4 linked regions of the Schizosaccharomyces pombe genome follow. Changing the gene in region 2 together with the main gene of any one other region gives a genetic interaction. Each region holds a gene or a part of one and is shown on either strand. Other genes may lie near its edges. The genes, in order: pzh1, bzz1, meu10 and shy1.

Evidence for each region.
Region 1: mutations in bzz1 (region 2) and pzh1 together harm fitness less than expected from each alone (positive genetic interaction), as found in Schizosaccharomyces pombe (one large-scale study listed by BioGRID).
Region 3: mutations in bzz1 (region 2) and meu10 together harm fitness less than expected from each alone (positive genetic interaction), as found in Schizosaccharomyces pombe (one large-scale study listed by BioGRID).
Region 4: mutations in bzz1 (region 2) and shy1 together harm fitness less than expected from each alone (positive genetic interaction), as found in Schizosaccharomyces pombe (one large-scale study listed by BioGRID).

The regions. Positions count from the first base shown.
Region 1 is NC_003424.3:1,525,634-1,532,190, forward strand, and holds pzh1 (serine/threonine protein phosphatase Pzh1), read right to left. Parts: upstream 4,140-6,557; 5' UTR 3,879-4,139; coding exon 2,331-3,878; 3' UTR 1,932-2,330; downstream 1-1,931. Other genes in the region: rnf13 (RING finger protein), read right to left, coding at 1-516; SPOM_SPAC57A7.07C (homocysteine methyltransferase), read left to right, coding at 4,556-5,482; U3 snoRNP protein Utp14, read right to left, coding at 5,680-6,557.
Region 2 is NC_003423.3:2,463,706-2,470,668, reverse strand, and holds bzz1 (diacylglycerol-binding protein Bzz1), read right to left. Parts: upstream 4,642-6,963; 5' UTR 4,497-4,641; coding exon 4,458-4,496; exon of another isoform or gene 4,414-4,457; coding exon 4,387-4,413; exon of another isoform or gene 4,333-4,386; coding exon 4,269-4,332; exon of another isoform or gene 4,218-4,268; coding exon 4,097-4,217; exon of another isoform or gene 4,019-4,096; coding exon 2,982-4,018; exon of another isoform or gene 2,936-2,981; coding exon 2,579-2,935; intron 2,536-2,578; coding exon 2,271-2,535; intron 2,203-2,270; coding exon 2,184-2,202; 3' UTR 1,930-2,183; downstream 1-1,929. Other genes in the region: SPOM_SPBC12C2.04 (NAD-binding dehydrogenase family protein), read left to right, coding at 454-1,608; ATP-dependent RNA helicase Dbp5, read left to right, coding at 4,811-6,322; srm1 (spermidine synthase), read right to left, coding at 6,573-6,963. UniProt on the Schizosaccharomyces pombe protein: Plays a role in endocytosis and trafficking to the vacuole. Functions with type I myosins to restore polarity of the actin cytoskeleton after NaCl stress.
Region 3 is NC_003421.2:1,864,973-1,872,265, forward strand, and holds meu10 (GPI-anchored protein Meu10), read right to left. Parts: upstream 5,124-7,293; 5' UTR 4,759-5,123; coding exon 3,508-4,758; 3' UTR 2,808-3,507; exon of another isoform or gene 2,750-2,807; 3' UTR 1,944-2,749; downstream 1-1,943. Other genes in the region: DNA-binding transcription factor, CBF1/Su(H)/LAG-1 family Cbf12, read left to right, coding at 6,778-7,293.
Region 4 is NC_003423.3:1,503,133-1,511,959, forward strand, and holds shy1 (cytochrome c oxidase assembly protein Shy1), read left to right. Parts: upstream 1-1,965; 5' UTR 1,966-2,285; coding exon 2,286-2,545; intron 2,546-2,628; coding exon 2,629-3,241; 3' UTR 3,242-3,279; coding exon of another isoform or gene 3,280-3,387; 3' UTR 3,388-3,447; coding exon of another isoform or gene 3,448-3,666; 3' UTR 3,667-3,737; coding exon of another isoform or gene 3,738-4,856; 3' UTR 4,857-4,895; coding exon of another isoform or gene 4,896-5,157; 3' UTR 5,158-5,197; coding exon of another isoform or gene 5,198-5,634; 3' UTR 5,635-5,673; coding exon of another isoform or gene 5,674-5,792; 3' UTR 5,793-6,035; coding exon of another isoform or gene 6,036-6,174; 3' UTR 6,175-6,218; coding exon of another isoform or gene 6,219-6,251; 3' UTR 6,252-6,319; downstream 6,320-8,827. Other genes in the region: NatB N-acetyltransferase complex regulatory subunit Naa25, read right to left, coding at 3,280-3,387, 3,448-3,666, 3,738-4,856, 4,896-5,157, 5,198-5,634, 5,674-5,792, 6,036-6,174, 6,219-6,251; UBA/EH/EF hand domain protein Ucp8, read left to right, coding at 7,449-7,598, 7,749-7,872, 7,918-8,827.

The sequences.
Region 1 (6,557 bases), on a different chromosome or scaffold from region 2:
ACCAACTATAACCCCTTTAAATCCGAGCCTTTGGGCTTCCAATGCTTTATCAAAATAGGTACACTTGCCTCTTTGAACCAAGAGAAAATCCAATATTGCTTCATCCTTTGACTCGCCCCCATCATCCTTTTGTACTCGAGCAGAAGGCTTGGAGGAATATGATTTTTGCTCTATATACTCAATGTCATAGTCGATTATATCATTTTCGTAAAAGTAGGAAGCGTCAGTATCGTTTCTGTTTGGGCATCCGGACATATCCTCTTGGAAGTTAGAAGGTAGATAAAGATTAATCACAGTGGTAGCTGAAGCGTTCGTAAAATGTTTACCAAATACTGCCTGTCGTGACCATAGAGTGACATTACGGTCCGGCAGCTGAATGGCAACATCTGTACTGGCCGCAAATCGCTTAGGAATAAATATGTTATCTAACACTCCAAGATCTAAGGCAATTACCTCTAGAAGAATGATATAACTAATGGATGCTAGAATACAAACTATTATTTGATAATACGACATATTAATAATTTACAGAAGGCGTGAAGAGTGGAGGAAGAACGGATACCGCAAGGTGAAGCCGCTTAGTTATATAGCACCTGTATAACGATAACTACAGAGTCACCAAAAAAGGTATGCGTAAGCTATTTTGAGATATTTTATTTTATTTTAAAACCCTTTTCACTAGTAGTTGCCAGGATTATTCAATTGATTAGTAACATTGTCAGCATTAAGGCAAGTTGCAGTGTTCAACAAAAGGAAATCCGATATTTGCGAGGGATAAAAAAAATTAATACAATTTATTCCCAATCAACTTATTTTAAAGACGAAACAGTCAGTAGAAAACAAGCTCTCTTGAAAGATACTTTGTATCTGATCAAAAGAGGTAAATACTTATATAATATTGAAAAGTATCATTGTACTGTATAAAGTTATATAATAAGAACTTAAGATATTTAGCTATATAATATTGTAAACATAAGTCGAGCATTCTCTTGCTCGTTAGATTTCTTATATTATTCAGTTTCAGCAGCTTAAAAACAACATCCTCTATCTTTAAAACAACTTTTAAAAAAGAAGAAAATTCTCTTTATATCTTTGCATAGTATCATACATGGATTATCAGGCATGACAATGAATCTGATAATCGATTATATTTCTACATTGAATCTAAAAAAAAAATTAAAAAAAATTCATTTTACCCTTTACTACGTAGGGTCATTTGTTTTTCCAGTCACAATGGGTCTTTAAATAAGCCAAAATCAAGACATTCTTCTTTTCTTTAATGGTTATGAAAGTCGAAGCACCATGTACCGTTATGTCTCATTACAATTAACTCTGCTTTAGTAGTGTCAAACAGTGTAAATAATTGAAATAAAACGGTTTCTGCATAACATTGAAAGTATAAACTGACAGCTTGCTTTTTCTCAATTCCATTAACATGATATAAAAAATTATATTGACGAAGGTGGGGTTCGAACCCACGCCCACATACGTAGACTAGCAATTGCTTTCACCTGAAGCTAGCGCCATAGACCACTCGGCCACTTCGCCATAACTACTGAATTTTAGAAATTTAGTGTATATATTACTAAACACTTTGAAAGAGCCATTAAACTGTAATCTTTAGAGATTATGTGTGCCTTTATTTAATATATCTGAATTCGTTACTATTCTTCGAATGATTCATTGAACCTTGAAATAATGTGATAAAATATCTTGATTGAACGAAAAAGCTGACACAAACAAAACAACGCAGGAGATTTATCAAAGAACTGCCTACTTGGCAGCATTATGCAACAAAAGTAGCTTACTCATTATACAATAAGGAAACCAAAATACTTATCACAAATGGATCATGGAAAGAAGTACTTAAGTACGATACCACATTCAACTTTAGTTTTCAAAGTGTTGTTTTAAGCCCATCGTATGGGAGATTAGTAATTGATAGAAGATTTACAAAGAAATGGATACATTTTCGCTTTAAATTTATTTAATGCTAATAATAATACTATAATAATTGTTTATTTCCTCCTCATGTAAATTTTTTACCTACTCTTTCGATGTTCAGCAGGTGTCGGTTAGCAAAAATAAAAAGCAAGTTAACTGTCACTATATGGAAATGATTGTGTTTTTATTAAAAGAAACAGAAACTTATACTAAACGTGTCAGGATGGAATTGCCCTCGAACCGATAAAGTGAACCAAGGACTTGATCCATCACCATAGTGACTATAACATAATAACAGATAATACTCATTTAAGAGAATAAAATAGTGTCCCAATAAAACCGCTAGATAATTTCAAATGGAGACCAAAATAGAAAAAATAGAATGCTTACACGCTTTGGGTAACCTGCTCAGCAGGGGGAGATTGATAAATAGCCATACCACTACGCTTGCTCTTTTTTAATTCTCGTCGAATTGCTGCCTGGTCGAGAGGCTTTATAAGTTCAAAGGAACAAAGCAGCTCTGAATTAACACTCATCACGGCCCCCCAATTATCAAATTCCCCACAGTAATTAGGGGCAGAAAACACCGTACATAAAGTTCTGTCATTAAAAAATTCATAACCGTCTTCAACAACCATGTGAGCACGACAGATTAAATCAAAGTCGTGCTTGGCCAAAAATTGCCGGATAACGTTTTTGTTGAAAACAAAAGAAACACCTCGTTCATTATCTTCCCAATCGTTTTCAGTATCAGCAGGATCTGACCATAACAAATCATTCAGCAATCCATAGTCAGGAACGTCAGTAGGACGAGGAATCTCCCGTATGTCATCCATATGACTTAACGATGGAGAAAGACCACCATGAACGCAAAAAATTTTACCGGCTACAACGGACGCAATGGGTAAGCAATTAAAGGTGTTTATGAAAGTCTTCCAAATTTTGATATTGCAACGTCTTTTACACTCATCGTAAAAACCGTAAACGCGAGTGATATTAGCGCATTCATGATTGCCCCGTAGCAAGAAAAAGTTTTCTGGATATCTGATCTTGTACAAAAAGAGCAAGAGGATGGTTTCAAGACTCTGCTTACCACGATCGACATAATCGCCTAAGAATAAATAATTAGAGCTCGGAGGAAACCCACACATTTCAAACAGTCGAATTAAATCGGAATATTGACCATGAACGTCACCAACGATTTTCACCGGCGGGGTCAATTCTAAAAGTGTCGGCTGCGAAAGAAATATTTCTCGTACGGCCATACAAATGCTGGTAATTTCAGCATTCTTTAGACACACACTTTTACTACTTTTTCGAGAATAGCCAACATGGATCAATCTTTGAATCATTTCATCTACGTTAAGGCTAACAACTGTTTCAGGATCATCAGGATCCGTAGAAGAAATTGCCGAATTAGGGATAATTACGGGCCCCTGCTGATCTTGTGGATACACAGGACCATTATGCTCAGAAGCTGAATCAAAGTTGGAGCCAATTGGGCCAGAGCTGGTTGGTGAGGTAGGTGATGTTGGAGAAACGGCATAAGAAGAAGAAGAAGAATGATGATGATGATGCTGGGAAGCGGCCGTAGAGGGACTAAGCATGGCAGGCTGGTTAGAAGGATGCGGCGACGTCGGAGATTGAGAAGAATTTCCCGAATCCTCCTGTTGATGCTTTTGCAACACAGCCGGAGATGTAGCTAATATCCCAGGAGAAGGAGGAGGAGGAAGGCTTGGTGGTGTTTCGGGATACCGGTGACGACTATGGGTTGTATCAGTAGACGTTCGGCGATCATGATTCGAGTCTTTGCCCTTCCCCAGGACTGTTTTCAGAGACTTTAAAGACTTAATGGATCCTTGAGTGTCTGACCGAGAAAAGGATGGGTAGGAATCGAGCTTGCTGTCGGCGTGTTTACTGCTCCCCTGTCCCATTGTATTTCAATTAATGGTAGATTCCGGGAAACTATTCCACTTTGTTCTATTTTTATTTTCTTTTTTACTTCAAAATCGAGACTTCGTTGCTTGCATTTAGTGCCAAAATTAAAAGGTTTCCCAATTGTACCTAGATTTTTTCTATTTTTCGATATTTTCCGTAAATTAGTAGATTTTCTCTTCTTCAAGTAATCCTGGTCTATAAAAATGTTTTGCTTTGCTGACAAAACACAATCGTTTAAAAATTTGTAAGGTCGTGGTGAAGAATGGGTTAACAAGTGATGGGAAGTGTAGTATAAATCTGATAGACGTAGTAGCCCGTTCCATCTTACTCGAGAACTGAACTCGCTGGGTCCATCTAGTGTGGTGCAACGATGATGGCGCACTTACTGTATAATAACTGCAGTGTATTCCAAAGTAAAATAAAAGGCGCAATTGATCCACGTAAATTAACGTTAAATTAAATATGGAAAAATTTCGCGTTACGTTATATACTAGTCTGATTCTTACTCAAATGTTTTTGTTTTGGGTCGATTGGGTTTCTGATTGTGCGATATTCTCTAAACTGTTGTAATATCCATCAAAAGGCAGTTACATCTGTTAATACTAGTGTATAACCTGAGATACCATTTTTGCTGTTCGTTGAACTATTTTTCCCAATTTTTGAGTTTTCCAAAATGCTTATGTTAGACGGTGGCTCTACTGCCATTCTTCCAAAGCTTCCTGAAAGTATATCTGAGTCTAGATTATGGACCTCTGAAGCACTGGTGCGTTATCCAGAGATCGTTGTTAAGCATCATGAAGAATTTTTAAAAGTTTGCGACATTATTAGTACTTTCACTTATCAACTGGATGCTTCTATCTACGACGAAAAGGTAGAAGGTGTACCATTAAAACAGGTTTACGCAAACAGCATTGGGTTACCTGTTTATGCTAGAGAACATTTGGGTTTGCCCAACAAATATATTGCTTTATGTCTCGGAAGTCATGCTGCTACTATTCCTGGATGTATGGAATACAAAATGATTTATGATAAACCCACCGATTTTGAAATGCTATACAATTTTCATAAAAACAGAATTGAAGCCATTCAAGCATCTAATCCTAAAGCTTTCGAAAAAATTGACTTCATTGCATTTGAAAGCCTTCCTCACGTGACTGAAGCAGAAGTAGTATGCCAACTCATTCAAGATATGAAAGGTTGGTCTAAGCGTTGCTGGATCACCTGTACGTGCCCTGAGCGCAGCACTATTGAACGAGTATCGTCCATTATCTCCAAGATACTGAGCATCAATCATGACTCTATATGGGGCATCGGTGTTAATTGCTTTCACCTCAGTTTACTCGAACCCATCGCAAAAATGCTATCCAGTCTTTTACCATCCAACATAACTGCTATTTTGTACCCTGACGGCCGCGGGTTGTATCAAAATCCAGACGGTACTTTTTCACCTGGCTCAACAGATCATCCTGCCCCTTCACCTGAAGAATGGTCAACTATAACGGCTAAATACTCAAATCTACATAATGGAAACCTGATACTCGGTGGATGCTGTGAAACAAATTATAATCACTTATCTTTACTCCGGGAGAAAACGAAGTAAATTATAACCATTTTAATTAATTTTCCTCATGATATTAATATATTTGTATTGAATTAATTTTTTTCTTGTTTAAAGTATTTACCTCAAAATATATATTTCTTCCCAATATCCCAAAATCCATTACAAATGTATCTAATCTACTGCAAAAGATATCAATCTAATAACAAAAATCCAAAACTCAATGTACATATAAGAATCTAATTAGGTGCCTTAATAGGATTAATGACTTTACCACGTTTGGTAACAACTCTGGGAGCAACAGCCTTATGATGTGAAGCTCGAGTAGTCCATTCTGGTCCCATAGGCAAGTTAAGAGATCGTTCATACTGTTCTCGTGATTCAAATGGGAACGGAACACTATCAGCAGTAAGCTTAGCAGCTTTCTTGTTGCGTTTTTCATTAATAATCACATGCTTTAGCTTAGAATCCTTCCGCTTTGACGGATCTAGTCCAGCAATTTTTTTAACCTTAGGCTTAGTCTTTCTTTGTTTTACGCCAACACCTCCCCATGAACCCCAACCGGGCAAACTATGATCTTCTTCTTTCGGTGCATCCTCTTGAACCCAGTCTTCTTTATCCTTTTCAAATTCAGCGACAACATCGTCGCCAGCAAATGCTTTAGCAACAAGCTCTCTCTGCTTAATTGACAAACGACCTTTGGTTGGCTTTAACATAGGTACCGAAACATCAACATCCGATTCCGCTTCCGACGCTGATTCAAAAGCCTTTTCTTCAAAAATTAAATCAGGCTGAACTTTAGGTTCTTCGACAAGTTCTTGAAGGGAGGCAACTTTGTCCATTTTTAACTTGTGATTCTTTTTGTCTGCCTTAGAGCTGTTTTTATCCAACTTTTTGGCAGAAGAGGTCCTTTGGTCAGGTACTTGCAACCATGGATTAGTTTCCTCAGTTGCTTCTAATGGTGATTCCTTTTTTTTTCGAGCTTCGGCCTTCTTTTGTCCTTCCTTCATTTCCGGTTTGTTGACTTTCAGCACCGCTGAATCAGAAACAAAGGGATTTTTCCTTGATGGCAAAGATAATTTTGCAGCTTCTTCGGAAGGCTTAAATGAACGACGGC
Region 2 (6,963 bases):
GTCGCTCCTAGAACTACTAGTTTTACTTTTATATCCTTGAACTCTTTCATCTCCGTCCATCTTATACAGTACATAGCTAAAGTGAGAACGTTCCTTAATATTCGGTTTGTTGTATTTGTTTATTTACAACATGCAAGTTAATCCGAATACGTAATGGTTTGGAAGAGCTCCTTACGTTAGCGCTAAAAGAAAATATATAAGCGTAGGAAATATCATATTTTATAAACCTGTCTTTTACCCATACCATACGATAAGTTCAATTAGGAAAAAAAAAACAAAGAATCCTCAATTTGGAATTCTCATAGCTGTTTTCCTTTTTCCTTTTACTCATTCATTTTCTCGTATTCATTGTTGATCAACTCGGTCTTTTTGCACAACCATTCACATAGGTTGAGCCTGTTGTTTATCTTTGTTATTTTCTGAACTTGTTTTTATATTGCTTTGTTTGATTCAATGACTGCTCTATCAACCAACTCTTCTTCTGGTGGGATCTTCAAGATCGCTATTGTTGGCGCCGGTGGCATTAACTTTGGTACCCCCGAGGGACCTTGGAACAATGCCCAGAGAGTTGAAAAGGTGTTAGGAAAATCACTTCGAGTAACTGCTCTCATCAACCCCTTAATTAACGAAAGCGAGCGTGTTTTGAAGTCTAAATGTGCATCTGACGTTGCTTTCGCTTATGAAAACACCAAGACGTATGTCTCTGTAACTGAGTACTTGGAATACTTGGATTCCCATCCTGAGGATGTCCCTTCTGCTTATCTCATTGGCATTCCTCCTGATTTCCATGGCTGCACAACTCCGGGTATGGACATGGAGTTGGAAATTTTAAGAAAATACCCCAATGCTGCTCTATTTATCGAGAAGCCTATTACTAGTGCTCCTGTCCAAGGTGCTTTTAACCTCGTACATGAATTGGAGAAATACCATGCTATCATTTCAATTGGTTATATGTTCCGTTATTTAAAGATCGTTCAAGCCGCCAAGAAATACGTTGCCGATAATAACTTGAACATCGCTTGTACCATTGCAAGATATAACTCTGCTTACGAACATAATAACAAACTTTTCTGGTGGTACATGTCAAAGTCTGGTGGTCCCGTCGTTGAGCAAGCTACACATTTCTGTGATTTGTCCATCTATTTCGGTGGTGATGTCGATACTTCTACCGTCAAGGTAAACCGTGTAAACTGGTACGACCCTTGTGGAAAATTAGCTAAGGTTCCTGTTGACGAGGAGTCCATTCCCAAAGAGGAGCGCATCCCCCGTTTCACCGCTGCATCATGGAAATATAAGTCGGGTGCAGTTGGTATTCTCGCTCATAGTATCATTTTACAAGGAACGAATTATGACACTTGTCTAGAGCTTCAAGCAGATGGTCATTATGTTCGTATGGTTGACTTTTACGGTCAACCCAGACTTTACATTCGTTCTCCTGAGGCTGATAGCGAACGCATTATTAATTTCCCCGAAGATGATCCCTATTATAATGAATTTGATGCTTTCTTGGGTGTTGTCCAGGGCAGATATCCTCCTAGCCGCATTTTGTCCAAGTTTGACGACGGCGCTAAGACATACGAGTTGACGAAGATCATTACGAATAATTAAAGTATAGAAGAATTGAACACACAACTTTTTTTTCCTTATATTTTCACCATTTTGGCTTTTTTCTCTTTTTCGTTACCTTTCATGAAAGTTTTCCCTTCGTTATCGGGAATGTTTTTAGACTTAGTTCCAATATCACATGTCGTTTATATGTTTGTTTCAATTTGCAGATTACTTTTGAAAATGTACGATGACATATCACATCCTTCGATTCCTCTCTGTTGTAATGACAATGTGTTTGTATGTATTCGTTAAAAAATTGTTGATCAATTTTCTCGTAACGCGAAACTGTATTCTTCAGTAAACATAAATTTTGGTTACTAACGAAAAAAATATAGCATAGTTCAATTTAAAAAATTTTCCTTAGGCATAGCATTTAGTATAGTTATTATAAATATCTAAAATTCAAAAAAAAAAAGATCAATCTAGCAAAAAAATACTTTGGTGTATCGACCAACTACATTGTAGTGGATAAAAAATCGTAAGTTATTATTGACAATTTGCTTTTCGTAATACATAAAGAAGGTAAAATTTATCAACAATGAAGTAGATAATATTCATATAGATATTTCAATGGTTTATACATCTGTAACATAACTAAGACATATGTTAGTTTTTGTGCAAAGAAATGGAGAAATGAATAAAAAAAAAAAACAAAGACTTACTTAGCTGGGAATTGACCGGTCACTCCATTAAGTATCCCTTCAGACCATCCGTTTCCAGCGTTTCGATTTGTGACCTGAATTATATCACCCTCTTGGATTGATAATTCCATATCGGATTGAGCTGTGTATGCATATAACGCCTTAACATAAGAAGAATCTCCATCAAGTGTCACACTCGTATTTAATTCATCATTCAATTTAACATAAGAAGCTGGAATCAAGCCATCAGTTCCATCGATTTTTACTCGAACCCAACCAGAGCCATCTATATTGATCTATTAGAATGGGATTTTTCAAGCTTTACTTACCATCTGGTTCAAGTAGCGTAAATTCCTGTCCTTCAGAAGCTGTGATTACCCCTTCATGTTCCCCGGTAAAATCGTAAAGAACTACACCGTCAACCTTTGACGCTGGTTCAGCAGGCGTTGTTTCTTCTGTTTTCACGTTGCTTAAGGAAGTTTGATAAATACTACTTGAATCCATATCATCTGTGTATGTGTTACGATAGGATTCATAGGCATTTGAAGACGACGCAGAAGCATCAAAATCATCAGTGGCAGTAACACTGGTATCTACAGCATCATCGTCGGCCACTTCGGGCTCACCATTTTTGCAGTTGGCGGGAACAAGAAGTTCACACCTTGCATGGCATTTGAAGCCACAATCTACACGTGTTTTGTTAGTTAACGAAAGAAAGCAAATATTTCGTACTTTTGCAAACACATCCACGCTTCGATAACCCCCAAATAATTTCACGACAGTAACTGCAACTTGTCGGAAGTTTAAAACTAACATGTTTGAAATCATGAAAACGACCTCCTTCTTCTAAATTATTCGCAACTGACGTGATCTTGTTGATACGAACCTCTAAATCTTCTATTCTGGCCTTTACCATGAGCTCTTTCCCTTCTAGATTTATCGAAGCCTTTTTAGATTCAAATGACTGGTTAGCACTATTTGGATCATCGACGCGTAAACCTTCCAATTGTGAATCTAACGATACAAGCTCGCCTTTCTGTTTTCCAAGGTCATTTTTGGAGTGGACCAGTAAATTTCGGAGGTAGTTTTTACATGAACCATCCACCACCAGTGCATCCGTGTCATGCCAGATAGGACTAGGTTCAAAATGCAAGTCAGCAGGAAGTGCCCAATTCTTTGAATTGTGCCTTCCGAACATGGCAGAATCAAGGACTGGTTCATTTTTTGCAATTTCTGATTGAATTTCAACGGTTCTTTGGGATAAGGTATCATGGAGAGACTTTTCAATTGAAAAGCTGTTACACCATATTTCATTTAAATTCGAAACCCTGTATTCGTTCAATACTTGCATATGATTAAGGAGCGTTGGTAGAGTTTCATTATAAAACTTTTGCTTGTGGGCGTTGTATACAAGCATACGAAGTAGGTATTTATTTTTCTTATCGAGCATATCACTTTCAGATAATTTTAAATTTCTTTGAGTTTTTTGCTCTCGATATTTATCGTTTTTTTGCCTTGCGCTTTCTAAATCATCGCAGGCCTCATGGTAACTGACCTTGGCTCTCTTCACACTGTTTAACAATGTCTCCTTTTCGGATGAGAATTTTTTATATAAATCATCATAAACTTTTCTTAAAGCCTCTATATGAGACTCTAGTTTCTTCAGTTTTTCAGCAATGTCCAATGAATAGTCATCGGATAGCTTTTGATGAGTTTTTGATGAGCGCGTTAACTCATCCAAAATTTTAGACCATGTTGTTAAAGAAGCACTATAAAATTAGCCTGTGAACAGGAATTCAATATCCATCTAACTTCAATTGCTTGACAGGTTCCAATATTTTACATACCATTCTAAAGAGCCAGCAGACATTGCCGGAGTATCTCCGACTGAAAGGGCTGATGATTTTCTGGATTTCTTCTCCCCATATTTATTCGAAAGACTGGCTAATTTCTGAGCATATTCTTTTTCTAGCAACAAAGTTAGTCATTGAAATTTAACCATTGTCGTTTCTTATTTACCAATAGAACTTCTTTCTTTGTAGTACAATTGAATATCTTCAAGCCATTTCGCGCCATTATTAATCTTTGTTACAATGTGTTAATTGTTGAACTGTCTTCATTTTCATTCTTGGCATACCCAACTGTCGACAACTTTAAAATCGTCCTTTTATATATTAGTAAATATGCCAAATAACTAAAACACCTTACGTGAAGTTCATCACTAAATTTGTATGTTTCCAGGCTCATTATCCAGTATTATCTACACGTTTGATATCGCTGCAATAAAAATTTGTACCGGATATAAAACAATTAAAAAGAAAGTTTGACGGAAGAAATTGTGACAATTTTTGGCTTTACGTTACGAATGTTGATGAAAAGGAAGTACGGTGGTGAATCGAAACCTATATTGTTCAACTTTCACTTAAGGAGTAACTTAGCAATCACCAACTACATTGCCCACCAGAAATTGTCATCCAGTTTGCTAAGTCATCCTTGCTGAGTTTGGATATCTGAACTATAAATTTGATTTTTTTTATTTTTTTTACTAAAAAACATCCAAAATGTCAACTACACTGGGACAGGAAAGCAAAACTGACTGGGCTAGTTTGGACTCTGATGAAGAGGTTCAAAGAATTAGTGATAAAGTCAATCAGTTAAATACTTCAGAAAATAAAAATGAAGATCAAAAAGCAACAAATTTAAGTGACAGATTAGGTCCAAAAATCACTGAGAATGTTGATGCAAAATCTGAGCAAGACAAAGCGACCAACACGATTGCAGAGGACGCCAATACGAAGCAATCTGAAAATGATGAATCTAATTTAATACCAAATAAAAACGAGGTTCGTGTAAAATTAGCAGATCTACAGGCTGATCCAAACTCACCTCTTTTTTCTGTTAAAAGTTTTGAAGAGTTGGAGCTCAAGCCCGAATTATTAAAGGGAATTTATTCAATGAAATTCCAAAAACCCTCAAAAATTCAAGAGAAGGCGCTTCCACTTTTACTCTCAAATCCTCCTCGCAATATGATCGGACAATCACAATCCGGAACTGGTAAAACCGCTGCATTTGCATTAACGATGCTTTCTCGTGTTGATGCTTCTGTTCCCAAACCTCAAGCTATCTGCCTCGCTCCTTCTCGTGAATTGGCCCGTCAGATTATGGATGTCGTGACGGAGATGGGCAAATATACTGAAGTAAAAACAGCTTTTGGTATTAAAGACTCCGTCCCTAAAGGTGCAAAAATCGATGCTCAAATTGTAATCGGAACGCCTGGCACTGTGATGGATTTGATGAAGAGAAGACAGCTTGACGCTCGCGATATTAAAGTATTCGTGTTAGATGAGGCAGACAACATGTTAGATCAGCAAGGATTAGGAGATCAATCTATGCGTATCAAGCACCTTCTTCCTAGAAACACTCAGATTGTTCTTTTCAGTGCTACCTTTTCGGAACGCGTTGAAAAGTACGCTGAACGTTTTGCTCCCAATGCTAATGAAATTCGTCTGAAGACTGAGGAGCTTTCTGTTGAGGGAATCAAGCAGTTGTATATGGATTGCCAAAGTGAAGAACATAAATATAATGTTTTAGTGGAATTATATGGGTTATTGACTATTGGTCAATCAATTATATTTTGTAAGAAAAAGGATACCGCTGAAGAAATTGCTAGGCGTATGACTGCAGATGGACACACTGTTGCTTGTCTTACCGGTAATCTGGAAGGTGCACAACGTGACGCTATTATGGATTCATTCCGAGTAGGTACTTCAAAGGTTTTGGTTACTACGAATGTAATTGCTCGGGGTATCGACGTATCGCAAGTCAACTTGGTTGTAAACTATGATATGCCTTTAGATCAAGCAGGAAGACCCGATCCACAAACATATCTTCACCGTATAGGTCGTACCGGTAGGTTCGGCCGTGTTGGAGTAAGTATCAATTTTGTTCACGATAAAAAGAGTTGGGAAGAAATGAACGCCATTCAAGAATACTTCCAACGTCCCATCACGCGAGTGCCTACAGATGACTACGAAGAGCTTGAAAAAGTTGTCAAGAATGCACTTAAAATGTAAAGCATGTTGATTTTTAGAGATTATTTAATACATAGGTTTCTTGGTACCAATTACTAAAGGAATATTATTTACTTATGCTGGTATTTCACTGGTTTTTTTGCATATCAACTACCGAAAGAGAACGTAATCTCACTTACAAAAAGTAGAGAGCAGAAGTGTGAAAACAAAGAAAAAAGAGTATACATTTTGACTTAAGATTGCATTGATTAAGACGTATGAAACTTTAGCCAAAAAAAATAAAAATGTTTGCTTAAGAGGAGGTAGCCTTGTCAACGACATCACGAGCAAAGGTAGGAAGAACAAAGGAAGCAGCATGAATTTCACTGTTATAGTACTTACAAAGCTTATTCTCTTCTTCGGGAGACCACTTGCGAAGAGGCTTGCTAAGGTCGATGGAAGCATCCTTGGAGGCTACAACGAAGCCGATAGATCCAGAGGGATAGGTGGGGATAGTAGTGTATGCGTAACGAACATTGGGGAAAACTGTTTTAACGGCAGTCAAGACATTGCTGATGACACCCAAATGAATCCACATACACTCAGCTTGAGTAGTAATGACACCGCCTCCACGAAGAGCATCGGAAAGAAGTTGAAAGTAAGGTTTTTGGAACAAGGCTTCGGCAGGACCGTCAGGATCGGAA
Region 3 (7,293 bases), on a different chromosome or scaffold from region 2:
TTTTTTAATTTTTCATTACTTTCTTTCCTTCCTTCCTTCCTTTTTCCTAAGTTTTTCCAGGCTTTCTGCGATCGTTTTAATAATAGTTTCCTCTTTATTCGGGAAAAATATGCCAATTCATACTACTTTAAAAAACTCCTATCCCTTCCTCTTTCTTTGCAAAACTACTGACACTTTCAACAAAAAAAAATTCTTTACATATTATCGTTAAAGTTAGTATGTCAACAAAAGGTCTGTTTTTCGAATCTGTCTTTTTCGGTTTCTATCTTTATTGTTGGTAGTTTGTATCATTTCTTTGTCAAACAGGCAATATAAAATGTTTCACTGCTTTAGTTTTTGTTCCGTTCAGGAACTAAGCAAAGCCATCCTTTAATCAGTTTTAATGCTGGTGTTCAGCATTATTAACCTTTTACGCAATTTCCACTCAACACCGTTTAGCACTCCGATGTTTGTATTATTATTCCGCTCATCTAGTGTATAATGGAAAACGGTATTCCCACTAACCAACTGAAGCATTCCTTTTCTTAAGGAAAAATATATTGGTGGGTTACAGACCCAAGGACAATATATAAAAAAAAGTATTTATTGTATTTGAGAGGAGACTTTGGAACTAATAGATTTGATATCTTTATGGGTGATGTTAACTAATTTATTTATTATTTAGTATATTTGTGAGCAGTTTAGTTTTTGTACGATGTCAGGAAGCAAGGGGTTTTTTTTTAGCATGGCGTACTTTATAAATCTTCTTTTGAGCTTGATTTAATTTGTCGTCTTATCAAATTAAGCATATATTTCGTTTATCCCGTTTGACAACTGTGATCGCTTGTAGTCATTATCGCTAATTTGGTGCGAATATGTACAGGGTATTTTGTAGACGGATGACCTTGGTTAATGAAGACGTTCGTTTACGTTTTCCCCTTTACTGTCTCTATCTATCGCTTAGCTTGAAAACGTTGTTTAGCAAGTGAATGTACGGATGATGAAAACCTTTAATAACCATTAAAGCTTTCGTGTGGATCCGGAGACATTTTAATGAATACTGCGACAGAGTTTGTTTTGTTTTTGTTGACAAAAAACGGGCGATCCCAATTTTTAACAAGTTCACGGTAGGATAGATGGAGAGGGTAAATAGACGTGTACGGCTAGATATCAACTACGTGATGAAGCTGTAATTCCTGTCTAAAGGATTTAGCAAATCGCTGTTTTTTTTTAGAGAGAGAGTGGCATTCACTGTTGAGAGTGATGAACTTTTTTAAAAAAGGATGGAAAACGAAAAACCCATTGTTTCGTGGTTTTGTTATATTAAACCGTTCCGTTCTAAGCTTTAAAAAACCAATTTTACCAAACTATTAATCATACGTCCGCTGGAAAACGACGCGATCGCTAAATAAATATTTATGTGAAGAGGATTGGTATCAAGGAAAGTTTAATAAATTCCTTACCTATAAAAAAATAATGGATCGTATGCTATGAAGTGTAATTATTTACTTATTGTGAATTCAGTCACACTTTGAGTTCCAATGTTTTGTAGGTGAAAATTTTGATGAAATCTGTTACGAATAAAGTATGTACGACCAAAATTTAATTTTCAAATCAATATTTTCCGTTTAGCAATAAATCCATTTACCTACCTTTTTGTGAGTCTCTTAGACAACAACATGCTTAAACAACCTCTTAACTTGCATTGCTCTATTGGTAATGCTTAATCAAACTGTTATATCCCGTGTGTACCAAAAATTAAATCGAACGCAAAACTAACACTATAATAACATTTAACATTTCTAATCGTAGCTATAATTAAAATCATTGCTCTACAATCATTTTTAAGTTTTAAAACATATTGTCTGAATATACTGGTATTTTTGGTATGTTATTCTAACATTATTTTTCCAAATTATTATTATTATTATTAATTTTTTTTTAAATTATTTTTCCAAAAAACTGTTAATCACTATACAGAATCTATGAAGCTTTTATTTACACCTGTTAAATGGTTTAGATCCATCCTTCATTAATTCATAAATACAGATAATTCGTAGCAAACTCATTTCAAATTATTCATCTCTGCTTTGGGCAATTCACAAGTTTGTTACCCTTAAACAAAGCAAAAGCCAAAAAGCATCATCTTTACGAAGTATCAGAAACTGGAAAGGCAAATTGCATTTTCTTTCATCACAACACTCCTTGTATGTTCACAAAAACTATTGCTTCAATGAAACACATTCTCATTCATAATGAATGATGCTCTCTTATCATTGTTGTTCTATCATTAATTTTTTTATTTTATTTATTTTTTTTTAATCAAGCAGTAAGTTTATCATATTTGCAACTTCAAATGTTTGATCCAAACCGTCCAAAAATTAACAAAAGGACAAATTACGTCAAATCAGTAAGTAGTAGGATCGTTTAGTTATGATCATTGGAAATTGTTTCAGTGATCGGCTCGGTTGCAAGTCGTTTAAACTTGACAACCAAATATGAAACATTTGTGATTGCCAAATTCATCTTTCGTTGAGAAGTCATCCTTTCTCTCTTTCTTTTCCATACTTCATATACACTCTCTACTACTTAACAAGGTTCGACCAACTTTGTTTCAAGAAATTTTGCCTTCCTCCGCATTCGCGTAAAAATTTCATCCACTTTCCTTACCTTCCTTCTATCCGATTGCAATTTTTTACAGGCACGAGTGCCTCGGATGGATAAGGCTTGAAACACCCGAGGCAACACAAAGAAAAATATTTTTTGCATTCTGAATACCACTAATTGTTAGTTGACTAAACAAACGACGAAAGGCATGCTTGACTCACTCATGTAATTTCACATTCCTTGGTTTATATATTAATTCATTTGGATGCCTGTCAGATAAATTGTTCAGCTCTCGTACTTCCGTTTTTATCCCACTTAAATCATATGTTTCATGGCATAAAATTAGTACCATCTACGCGCGGGTTTAACTGTTAGTAAAAAATTGCCTTTTACTCTACAACAAGACAAACAAATGATTCATCTAGAAAAGTAGCGTGCTGTTATCGATAGACAAACATAATAACTGGTAGTTTTGTGATAGTAAGAATAATGATGAATATTTTTGTTTTAAAAATAAGAAGCCAATAGAACCTGGAGTCACTAAAAATACTTTTTTTTTTTCATTCTCCTAACCGTACTAAAAAATAAATAAATAAACCGAGGAAAAGCCAACCATTGGTAAGAAAAAGTGTTCACTATCCATACTCACAACAAAACAACTGAAAACCGGTTTCTCGTCATTTCACTGTGTCCATTAAGGAACAGCAAATAGTAAAGTGATCCAAAATGAAGCAACGAAACTTATCGCCGTTTTTTTTTGTAATCCTTGTTGGTTGAAAATCTTCCTTCTAATTATTTTGAAAGCATTTATTTACTTTTTAAATAGAAACAGGTTAATCATAGACGGCATGGCTTTGAAGGGTAGATTTCGATCTTGCAAATGAACTTGCGTTTACATTGTCAACTTTGTCTCTCTTGGCTTTAAAGCAAGTGCGCAAAGCCACTTACTAAGACAAGGAAAAAGGTAACAAGACGGAAAGGTCGGCTATCTACCTTAGCGGCACCACTTTGTTTGACCGGTGATGTACTGTTCTTAGAGCCTTTAATTGTTCCATTTCCTAACAGTTCATCAAAATCGTCATCATCGAAAGAAGACTCCTTGCTTTGTCTGGGATTGTCAACCGATCCTCGGCAAACAAACGATTTGCCCTTGATGATCCCGTCGCTCTGGCGGAAGGGACAAGTAAAGTCGCTCGATGTAGTTTGTATGTTCAAACCTCCTTTAACATCTCGTAACTTGGGAAGTTCAACGCTGCTAAAGTTACCGGTAAAGTCGATGGATCCTGCTACGGTCTTCAATTTATCATATCCTTTGATTTGTGCCAATGCTGCACTGTTGGCAATCATAAAAGTACCTCCAATGCTCTCAAGTTGCTTGAAATTTAGCGAAGTCAATTCCTGATTGCCTATAAAGAAAAGAGACTGTCCAATTCGTGTAATGTTTGGGCATGATATATCCTGCAACGTGCTGTTGAGGAAGCCTAAAAATCCTTTGACCTCTTCTAAATTCGAAAGTTGTAAGTGAGCTACGCGTTGAATCGTCATGTCACCCACGGTTTTAAGTCTAGGAAGGGTAACACTGATCTCCCTGGCATTGTAAGAGACGTAAAACTTCGACTCCACACTTTCCAAATAGGGCATATCAACTTCTCGCAAATAATTGTTGTTAACAATTACCATCGTATCCGTAGTATTCAAAGAAATACCTGCAAGTGTGGAGAGTTGGGTATCCTCGATGGTGAGCTTATGGGCCTTTTTGATCCCCTTATCGAATCGAATCCCTTGAAGATTTGGCAAGATACGCATCGTTAATTGGCCAACATTTGCCAGTTGAGGTGCGTAAACACTAGCGAGTCGTGTGAGTTTTTCAAACCGTAATTCTCCACCCACACTGGAAATGGATGTCAGGGCTACCGATGCAAGGTAGTTGTTATTACGAATGATGAGATCACCGGTAATGGTCTCTATTCTATTGAAATTCAAAGAAGTAGCTGAGCTAGTGTTCATGATGATAGAGCCATTCACAACCTGACAGTTGCTTAAAACGTCCAAGTCATTCTGTGTCTCAATAATGTACTCGGGGGCACCACAAACCGCTGGGGTTGCACCAGCGATCACTACGCTCCACGCAGTGAAACTGGTAAACAAATAAAAGCGTGAAGACAAGCGCATTTTATGATAAATGAAGAATGAATATAAAGGAGGGAAAAGTTGTTAGGGATAATAAAAGCAATAAAATCTATCAAGTACGACCAAAATTTTTGTCGTAGCAGGAAGGGATTGGAAATGAAATTATGAATACTGAAGAATGAATTCGGGTCTTTGTAGGGTTTGGAAATGATGAACCTTTAATTGTTTATGATTTCCTTGTTGATTAAAGTTTGGACAAGAAAAAGTGCCTTAAACGAATGCTAATATAACAAAAGTTTATGTATATATATGCTGGGTAAGAAAAGAGGACAGAGCGAAGTCTTTCTTCGTAATGGATTATTTATACGATTTTTGTTAAAAGGAATAAAAATGTAGCGGTTATTTCCAGGTAGTTTACTCACTGGCATGCCCTTTTATAGATTTCGAAACCGCCCAACTCATCTTAATATGGTAAAAGTTACTCAGGTTTATACACCCCAATTACTAAAAACATCTTAAGTAATAAGTTGAATGTATGTTAATGGACTATATGCGGTTCACACATTCGTTAATTCATTTATAAATACGGCCTTGAGCCTGCACCACACCTACCATCAACAACAACTTTCAACAATAACAAACACAAATGAACAGCGAAAAATAACGAGAGTAAATACCAAGAAAGTAATCAACGCAACTCTTTAAAATTTTTTTTTTTCATAATGTAAACAAACCTACTTGGTATAATTGTTTACTTATTTATTTACTTTGCAATGTTAGTAAACAATGTCAGCAACGTCATGCGATCGACTTTTTCATTGTTTTTCTCTACACGAGGTAACATTATCCCATTGAGGGGTATAGCGTCCGTTGCGGAGGAAAGTTGATCATAAGTGACCCACGGATTGTCTCTATTTTACAATGCTCAACTTGACTGGTTGAATGTTGAGAGTGTTTACTTCGTTGATTACCAACATTTGCTATGTCAACGTAAAACTGCACAAGTTGAACATAACTGGAAAAACTTACTTTGGATTATTATAACTGACTAATCAATAGGACTCATCCGTTGGATCTAGGATTCGCTGCAAATCCTCATCATACATTATTTTGATTCCCGAAAACTGCTTGCTTTAAATTTTTTAAAATCTTAAACCTTTTTTTTAACCTTTTCATTTAAAACATTTTTATCTCCTTCGCAAGCTCAAAAGTCGAGAATTGGCATCGTTGAGGTGTCAACCGACAACGGACCTAAAAAGGCGCCGACAAGCAAAAAAATTTGTACGTAATTGCTATCAGGAATTTAAGAAGCGGCAAAACTTCATCTGCTTAATATTCAAAGTGAGTCTCGAATGTCACCAACGGAAGCCAAATCTTCGGTCTTGCTAAGAGGCTTACCTATCCTATCGTGCATTTTATTTTTTCAATTTACCATCCTGGGAATACTAAGTGGACGTGCGTGGTTGGTATGAAAACATTCTGCACCATTTGGACATCCAACAGTTAAAATTTTGCGAAGTCACAGTTGTTGGCCGTTCTATTTTCAGTGGTATTCCCGTTAATATCACACTCAATTCGTGCTATAGGCAAAATCGGAAAAACCAAAGTACATGTTGTTTAACGATTTTTCGGTAACGTCGTAAGGCTGTATATCCAAGTAATACCGGATTAACATTTTACTTCTCCGAATTAGGGAATCATGTAAATAATAAAAAGAAAAAAAAGGAAGATTAGGACTGCTACAAAAATTAATGAATTGACTTAAGAAATTTGGTTCCTGACTTTGTACGAAAACACAACACTTTTGTAACAACCTTTACGCTAGCTAAATAGTTTACTTTTTACCCTTGATAGGTCATCCTGTTCGTTGCAATTAATGTTGAGGGAAAGTTAAGTGATCTCAGCTCATCAAATACCAGACATTGCGCGTACATGAACTTTTAAACTTAACGTCCACGGATCTCTTAAATTCAGCTGTAGAGGTGAAAGGCTTGTTTTAAAAGTTTTAAAATTTCCAAACGGATATAATAGATTGCATCCTTTTCACCTTCGTCAAATTCTATGTCCCCAAACGTTCAGAAACGTCCTTCTTCCGAAGATATTAAAACACAGGAGTTTTATGATTCAACTAGGAACATAAGAAGAGTCGCTACAGCAATAGGATCCATCAATGCTAATTTAGAGTCTCCACAATTGTATTCACTCGCCAAATCCACCTCTTTACAGGAACCCGTTCGCATCTATGGAGACTCGGTTTCACCCGCCATCAGTAGCTCCAAGGCCCACTCCACGTCTTCAGTGAGTCCGTATTACTCGGAAAAAAACGAATCTCAAGCGTTGAACGCAGATGGCACAGCATTTGCTAATCCTTCATTTCATTCTTTTGGTCTACCTCAGGAGGACTCACAGGATAACACCCAAACCTATTCCACACCTTATACAACGATGAATCCTTCCAATGAGATGCATCCTTATCCGCCAGCAACTTTTGAAAACAATTACTCTGTCCTTCCTGACCATTCCTCTCAACCCAATGCGTATTCCTTTACCGGCTCAAATATTCTCCCTACTCAGTCC
Region 4 (8,827 bases), 960 kb from region 2:
CGCGAGGTGCGTGTCTTAATATCATAAAGCCGCGTACAGAGGGGCTGTACCTTTAAACATCAAGTTTTCGAATTTCTAACAACAGAGGATAAATTTATAGAATATTGACAAAGGATGAAACGTTTTTTTAATGTATAAAAAAATCAGCTAAATTCTTGAAACGTCTCATATTTGCATACTCTCATATTGTGGGTTTAATATTCATAGATGTAAGTTTATAAATACCCTTATATAATTTATTTAATCAAAAACTTATTTGATCCTTAGGTTTTCGCCTTTTCTTGAACATCCATAGGTGTATGGAGGCCAAACACCTTTGTACTAGTTTACTCAAACTTTTGGGTGCACTGCGGTATGTCGTACATTGTTAAGCATTATAAGAAATGGTTACAGTATTCGTTAATTGCTCTTACGTAGATACGGTACATGTCGTCAGTTTATTTACATCAAGAAAACCAGAGAATGCCTAACTTATTGACATGTTAACATTTGTAGTCAAATAACTGAAGGGTCGGTGCCTAATAATCTGTATAGCAAATGATTCAAATAGTTTTTTACTTTAGAGCTATATTAGTTTGTTCATGCTTTTTGCCTGATTGCAGGTTGTAGTTCTACTAAACTATATTCAACCATTTATCTTGAACAAAATCCTATGTCAACAAAAGACTTTTAAATAAATAAACTGCACTATTATTTAATTGTTATTGTCGAAAGCGATCAGTAACAGCAGATTAAGAAACTACTTTTTGACCAGCCAACTTGTCGAGTATTAAAACTAGCATTAGTATATATAATTTAATAAATACATTCCGACGATACTGCCTCTATGGCTTAGTGGTACAGCATCGCACTTGTAATGCGAAGATCCTTGGTTCGATTCCGAGTGGAGGCATATACATTATATTATATTCTTTTTCATGCGGAAAAAAGATTTCAAATTTTTGGGTATGATATTAATATGACTGTAACGTTAATAGCAAAGTGAGTGTTAATAATGATAAAATAGCAGCAAAATCTCTTTTCCGAGTAAGACGTTTTCCAGTCTAAATTTGGAGTCTGCAGTTGTTTCGCAATTCTTAATGTATGGTTATACTAAATACAAACTTTAAAGCTCTGATTTATGTTTGCAATAAACTAAAATAAAAGCACAAAAACCTTTACCCATTAATTTCAAACAACTTATAAACTACCGGTAAACTTTTTTTCTAACCTTTATAATTTATAAACTAGAATGTTTAATGTCTACGGCCATACCTAGGCGAAAACACCAGTTCCCGTCCGATCACTGCAGTTAAGCGTCTGAGGGCCTCGTTAGTACTATGGTTGGAGACAACATGGGAATCCGGGGTGCTGTAGGCTATTTTTTTATATCCGTCTTTCTTACTACTTGCCTAACAAGTCATGATGTACTCTCAAAATATGTTTGCATGCCTTGTAATATTGGTTATGGATAGCTCCTTCTGGACTTGATCTTTTGTAGCCAAGAACAATGGGTATAGACTCTGACCTTGTGATGTTGTAGCCACAGATTATAATAGGTATTTTCAAGTACAGTAACAAAAATCTTCTAGTTTTTTTTTAGAAAGGATACACCAAGTATAAGCAAATTCAGGAATTGTTGATTAAACTGTCAACTTCGGTAAAACTTTGGGCATAAGTAGTGTGGGAGCAAGTTTAACTAAAATTCTATTCAGATGTCGAATCCAAACCGCTAATTTTGCTCAACTAGCTTTTCATAAAAACCAATTCATAGTTTCATACTAATAAAGACGATTGTTTACTTTAAAACATACGTCGTAAGAACATATATTGCTTTATCGAAAGATAACAAATGTTAAGCTATTATATTATTTAACTATAGCGCAGATTTCGCTTCCTTTACTTAAAAAAGACATGTGACTTGTAGAAGCTTGGAGTGAATACGCAAAGGTACCTACTTAGACATTCGCGTCTCTCTTAGCTGTCAACATCAACAAACTGGCCCCGTATTGAACAGTATCTTACTTGTCGAAGGATTTGACTAAGAAAATTTTATTTCTTTATAGCAATATTCCGTTTTCGCTTAGAAGATTCTAGTCAATTGCCCTATTCTACTTACGCTTTACAGTAGTATCAGAAGACCTGAGTGGGATTTTGCTGCTAGTAGAGGCCATTCAAGTTAACTCCGTTTTGCAACATTTTAAAAGTTTTTGAATTGAATATAAATATCAATTGTTTGATTCCTTTTAGGATTTAATCTTTTCTTTTTATTTTTGTTTCGATTGAATCTTGGATTCCTGTCTATCATGTTTTGGTGGAAAAGTGCTACTAAATTCACATTCTCAAAGCGTGGACCGTGTGTCTTTCGCTATTTGAGTACTCTTGAAGGAACAACTGTGAGGCCTAAAAAAAATAAATTTTTAGTTGGATTGCTTTCTGCCGTTCCAATTGTCACGTTTGCTTTAGGAACTTGGCAGGTAAAGCGACGAGAATGGAAAATGGGTATCATCAATACACTCACGGAAAGGCTTCAACAGCCCGCAATTTTATTACCGAAAACTGTTACGTACGTTAAGTTAACATATACACAAATTGCACGTTTTGCAATTGAACTGTCGTTTTTTACATTAAGCTAACATAATCACTTAGAGAGCAAGATACAAAAAAACTTGAGTGGACTAGGGTTTTGCTTCGTGGTGTGTTTTGTCACGACCAAGAAATGTTGGTCGGTCCAAGAACGAAGGAAGGCCAACCTGGCTATCACGTAGTAACCCCATTTATTTTAGACGATGGGCGTCGAATTTTAGTCAACAGAGGATGGATTGCTCGATCATTTGCTGAACAGTCTTCTCGAGATCCTAGTTCTTTACCTAAAGGTCCAGTGGTCATTGAAGGTCTTTTGAGACAACATACTGATAAGCCAAGATTTATGATGAAGAATGAGCCTGAAAAAAATTCTTTTTACTTCTTAAATGTTCGTGAGTTTGCACAATTGAAAGGAACTCTCCCCATTTTGATAACAGAACTACAACCATCGCTTACACCGTTGCAAGAAGCCGATCATGTTAAGAGAGGCTTGCCTCTTGGTCATCCTCTAAAAGTTGAAATTTTCAACAGTCATACAGAATATATTATCACTTGGTATTCTCTAAGTGTGGTATCAGCTATAATGCTTTACGTCTATTTTAAGAGAGGTTCAGGCACATCTTCTCTGAATTCTGCATACGAAAGAAGCAAGATTCTAAACAACAAACGATTATAAAAAATTTTCATATTTATAAGTTTCTAAATATTATCTACCTAAAATTTTACAAATTTTGGAAGCTTGCTTACTGCGTCCGTCGTTTGAATGTATGAATCGATCATTCCTTCACCAACTTGTTTTGCAAACTTCGGATCGTAAGGAACCTATTATTAGGAAGTTAGTTCTCATGCCTATAATTTTAATGCTCTATAATCATCACGTACCTGAGTTTCAGATAAATTGCTCAGCCAAGAGTTTGACAACAATTCTGATACATATTTTCTGGCGGCCTTCTTTTTATGCTTCGTAATTCCAGAGATACTTCCTAATTTGTTACTGCTGATGTTTTTAAGAAGTTGGTATTGTCTGGTAAATTCTTTTTTCTTGGTAGCTGACACGTGATATAGGAAGCTGTTTAGACAAGTGATAAGGTCATTTATGATCTATAATTCGGTTAGTTTAGAAATTTTTATATCATTTTTTTTAAAAAAAAAAACCAGTTTGGTAAACTTACTTCAGTGTACTTTGTCAATTGACTTAAAGGCGTGGAGTTCTCATAATCGAATGACTCAATTAAATTTTCAATCGTTTCGAACGAGGAATTTTCGTAGTCTCCGTTCTTGACCTTTACCGAAAGTAATCCCAGTTGGATCAATAATTTCATATGAACAATTTCTTCCGAAGTTAATTGCTTCGATAAATCATTGTTTTCGCACAAAACTTCCATTTCCTTAGCACTTAAAACGGCCTTTTCAAAATCGCCGTTTACTATGCTGTCTTGAACGAGAGAATGACCAATGACAGTCAAATGGATCCAAAGCGTGTCCGGTTTAGGCGAATTTCTTAAACTTTCTTCAACTGTTGGCAATTTATCAGATCCATAATCTGCAAAGACCTTTAAATCTCGATTATCTTTCGGAGATGAACATTTGGGAAGATACTGTTTGGGTGGTTTAAAAGCGGTAAGATAATGTATCCTAGCCCGCTCGACCAAAGAAATGCTTTTCCAGGTACTGTGGTCTAAACGGGATCGGAAATTACGCATATCTTCGATTTGAGAGTAAGCACCATCTTCATAAGCCATAGAAATCATCTCTGGTGTTTCAAACTCATTCGAACCATATATTTTGAGACTTGAGTTAATATAGTGAGAAGTAACAGAAGATGGATAATAGGTAGTAGCACGAGTCAAGAGATAATGATCAAGGGTATCGTTTTGAATTTGCTTAATGGACATAGTGTCGTAAACTTTAGCAGCAGCAGGGAAGCCTCCATCAAGAAGAAGATATAAACGAATAAGGGGTAGCTTTAAATGAAAGTTATGTTGACTATAAGTAATGCCTTTTTCTAAAAGACAGATTGCGTCAAAAATTAAAGCTTGTTTTTCGGCAGGTTTTAAATCCTTATTCCCCTCCCACATATATATCAATGAATGAACTGCTAATAACAAAGCTTCATAACCGTGCGTAAAGTCAGTGGGTAATAAGCCTTTACTTAAAGACAAACCCTTTTCAAATGCGACGAAGCATCTACGCACGTAATCGACAACCGATTCTGCAGTAAACGACTCAAAGAGCAAAAAATGGATCTTCAGAAGCAAAACCTCAGCATATAATTTATCGACTTTTTGAGACTACGACGAGTTAATATTGAAAGATGAATAAATACTTACTTCATTGGATTCACCTAGATCAGCCAACTTAAATGCATCTAATAACCGGTGTTGTGCATCAACATTCAGCTTCAATAGATAAGGTCTCAAATCTTCAAAAACAATTGGTTTCATATACAGCTTTTTGATATAGCCAAGTAATGCTGATTCGTGTTCTTCAGGAAAAAACCGTGCGCTGGCTTCAATCCAAAGTAAATGAAGATTTCTTTTTGTGCTGCTGGTTGACAACGCTTTCAATATACAATCCTTTAATGGGACTAATCTATGGAGAAGTTAGTAATAATGCAAAAAAAAAAACTTACTTTGAATCATCATTGGAAGCACTATCCAGCAAAGCTTTGCAAACCTTCCAATCAGTATTCCCAGTTTGGAAAAGAGAAAGCGAAAACGTGAATAAAGAATCCCAACGCGCACAGGAAGCAAGCAATTCAAGCTTCCTCAAAAGAAGGTCGGCGTCAGCATCAACAAAGCGATCAGCATCTTGATGTATTAAAGCATCTAACGCTCTGTCCTTGTCTCCCACTAAAAGCAACACGTCTAAATAAAGATGAAACTCCTCACAAGAATCGATATAACCTGTTGGTTTTTCGAAAATGAGTTTAGCAGTTTTTTCAGCTAGTGCTTTCAGCAAACGTTGTTCAACCTCATTTTCCGACTTTTTGGACAAAAGATACAAAGATGAGATAACCCATAAGGTATGTTTCCTAGAAGGAAAGTTCTTTTGCAATTCTACAGCAGCCTGAGGAGTTAGTAAAAAAAAAACAAATTAAGATCTTACCTTTCTTTGGTGAGACAATGATTTGATGCGAATAGATGCTTTGAAGTAAGCTAATAAGTTTTTTTCCTGCTTTCCATAAGTTTGCAAGAACTTTTCCCAAAATACAAACGATTCTTCTCCTTCAAATAGTTAATAACTTAAAAGTAAGAGGGTAAAAACAAGTCCATTGAGAAATAAAACGTTGCACTTGAATCATCAAGCTACGAAAAGAACAAAGATCGTTTTTCTTAAGCAAAGTTTAACCGATCAAATAACTAAAGCCTTTATCTCAAGGAAATAGTAGAATATTCAAAATAAAAAATACGACCAAAGTGCTATCAACATTTATGTTCATCTGTTCAATAGAACCTAATTATACTTACCCTTCTTTTGATCATCATAAACAGCTTGTATAATGTCTAAAAGTTCCAAGCTGTTGATGGGAGTCGATTTTAACGGTTCTAAAAGTGCTAGAGCCTCGGGACCACGTCCTGCCTGAGCCAAGGATAACGCTGAATAAACCTAAAAAGGATGTTAACAGCTAAAAACATAACTCGATTACTTACAATTGTTGATTCTTTACTCCCAGAACGACGCATTGTAGTAGGCAATGAAATTAAAGCCCAAACAGTAGTCAGAAGTTGGTAGGTGTTGCAGTCAAATTATTATTCTACAGAGGAGAATATTATAGCCAGCGTGGTAGAATCTGGATATATATCTACTGCAAAAGTGTAATTGCATTGGTTTAAAGGGTATACTATGGTTAAGTAATATATTCACAGCTGTACAATTTACAGTCATAACTAAAACTTCCTTAAGCCGTAAAGAAATACCTGGTGTTGTAAAATTTGTTGTATATCCACGGCATGGTCATATAATGTGATTTTGTGCTCAAATAAATATAAAATATGCATAATTTTTGTACATTTAATTTGAGAAACCCATCTTTTGTTGAGAGGCTGTCAATGAATAGCAGTTTCATTGAAAAGCAGCGGGATGACCAGAAAAGTATTTTACAATGGCAAGGGAGTAGAAAGCTAGCGTAATATTCAGAAAGCTAGGTAATTGAGCAATCCTTTAATTCATTGCTAAGCATGCTAGGTAAACGCAGTAAACCTTTCAGTTTTCATTTAGGTATAAGGCTGTTTAATGAGTATCTCCACTAAATTTAAAGATCAAAACTCAGTATCAATTCTTAAAAGTTTTATTTTATTTAATAATCATATACTTCTCATAATCTTTCAATTTTTTCCCCATTTTGATGATATTTTTATTAATCCTACAGTAAGCTCTATGATATCGTTATTCTTCAAATAGGCTGGTCAGCACGTGGACGGTGTTACTTATCGTTAAATAAATCGTACTAAGGAGGTGCGATGTAAATGATATGCTTGTCAAGTATTAACTGCTCTCCACCAACCGCCGGTTTAACTGATTATTGTTGAAAAGCGCAGACGAAGTTTAGAGAATTACTAGCGTATTTTAAATTTAATCAACGGACTATTTTTTATTCCTTTGAGATCCGACTTTATCGCTTTGCTTCTAATTTTCCAAAATTCAGTCTATCTACGCGATCCAGCCCTGTTTGCGTAAATTTCATATTATTTTTCTTTAAACGTTTGGCTTTAAAGAGGCGCTTTTTTTTTGTTATTTTCTCTGTATAAAAGGTTACATTCGCCGATAGGTTTAATTTCATGACTTGTATTTGTTTTAAATCAGAAACGTTTTATTGAGTTAGAGTTCACAATTGTTAACATCTAACTATCCGCAATTATTTTTTTATTCATAAATAGGATATGCAGCCTTTGCAGTTATCCCCTATAGAACAGCAGGAGTTTGACCGATTGCTTGAGTCTCTCCACCCAGAACAGAAAGATTTAATCCCAGGAAGTGTTATTGGACCTTTTCTTTTGAAGTTTGGTCTTCCTCAAAAGATATTAGCAAAGGTATGTTTAATTCATTCCTCAATCAAAAGCTTTGGGATAGCAGTTTTTATCTCTTAAAGTTTAGAGTTTAAATCTAAGAGTGGAATGTTATAAATTAAAGCGTTGCACTTTCTAAAAGAAAAAATATATATCTAACTGCCAATTTATTAGATATGGGATTATTGTGATCAAGAGGATAAGGGATCACTTGATCGTAATCAGGTTTATGCTTGTTTTCGATTAATTTCTCAGGCTCAACGTGGAGCAACTTTGCAAGAGCTAGATTATAATAAAGGTATGAAAATGCGTTAATAGTTAGCTATATTCTAACATTAATCAGCCGGAGATCCTCCAATTTTACCAAAACAAGCTAAAGACGACCATCATATTAAGCGTTCATCTTCAGAAACGGCTGATTTTACCCCTTTCCGTATCCCCATTAACCCGGACGAGCGTTCCGAATATGAAAAGGAGTTTCGTGAAAATCTTCGAGGACATGAAGATTCAGCAAGGCCAGGCTGTATGCCAAGTTCAATTGCAAAACCTATTCTTTTAAAATCTTCACTTCATTACGCCGTACTCGCTCAAATATGGAATCTTGCTGATTCTGCCCATGTTGGGTACCTTGAAATGTATCAATACGTTATTGCAAGACATTTAGTTGCAATATGTAAACAATACAACTTGATTCATCTTCCACGCTCTTTGCCCGCTGATGTTATTGAATCCGCAAAAAGTGAAACCCCAGCAATGAATACAAATATTGAACAAGGTGTTACTCAGCCATCTTTAGTGAATACTGAGCAACTCTCTCATCAACAAAGCATATCCTCTACCAAGTCTTCTAAATTGGATGAGATTTCCGCAGATAATAATGCTCAATCTGCTGTTGACAACAAGTACTCATCACCCCCACAAACAATTGATCCTCAAGCTAATATAAAAGCCTTAATTACTCCCGAAGATCGGTCTAATTTTTATCAATTATTTTCTAAGATTGACAATGAAAACAAAGGATATATCGTGGGCGGTGAAGCGGTACCTTTTTTTATGGCATCTCATTTAGACTCTGAAGAGCTTGCTCGTATATGGGATACAGTCGACACTCAAGATAGAGGTTATATTGACAAAGATGAATTCGCTGTAGCTATGGAAATTATAAAGTTACGACTCTCAGGTAAATCTCTTGCAAGCATACTTGCATATGACGATAACCCGACTGAACCAACTATGCAACAAAATCTGGTTTC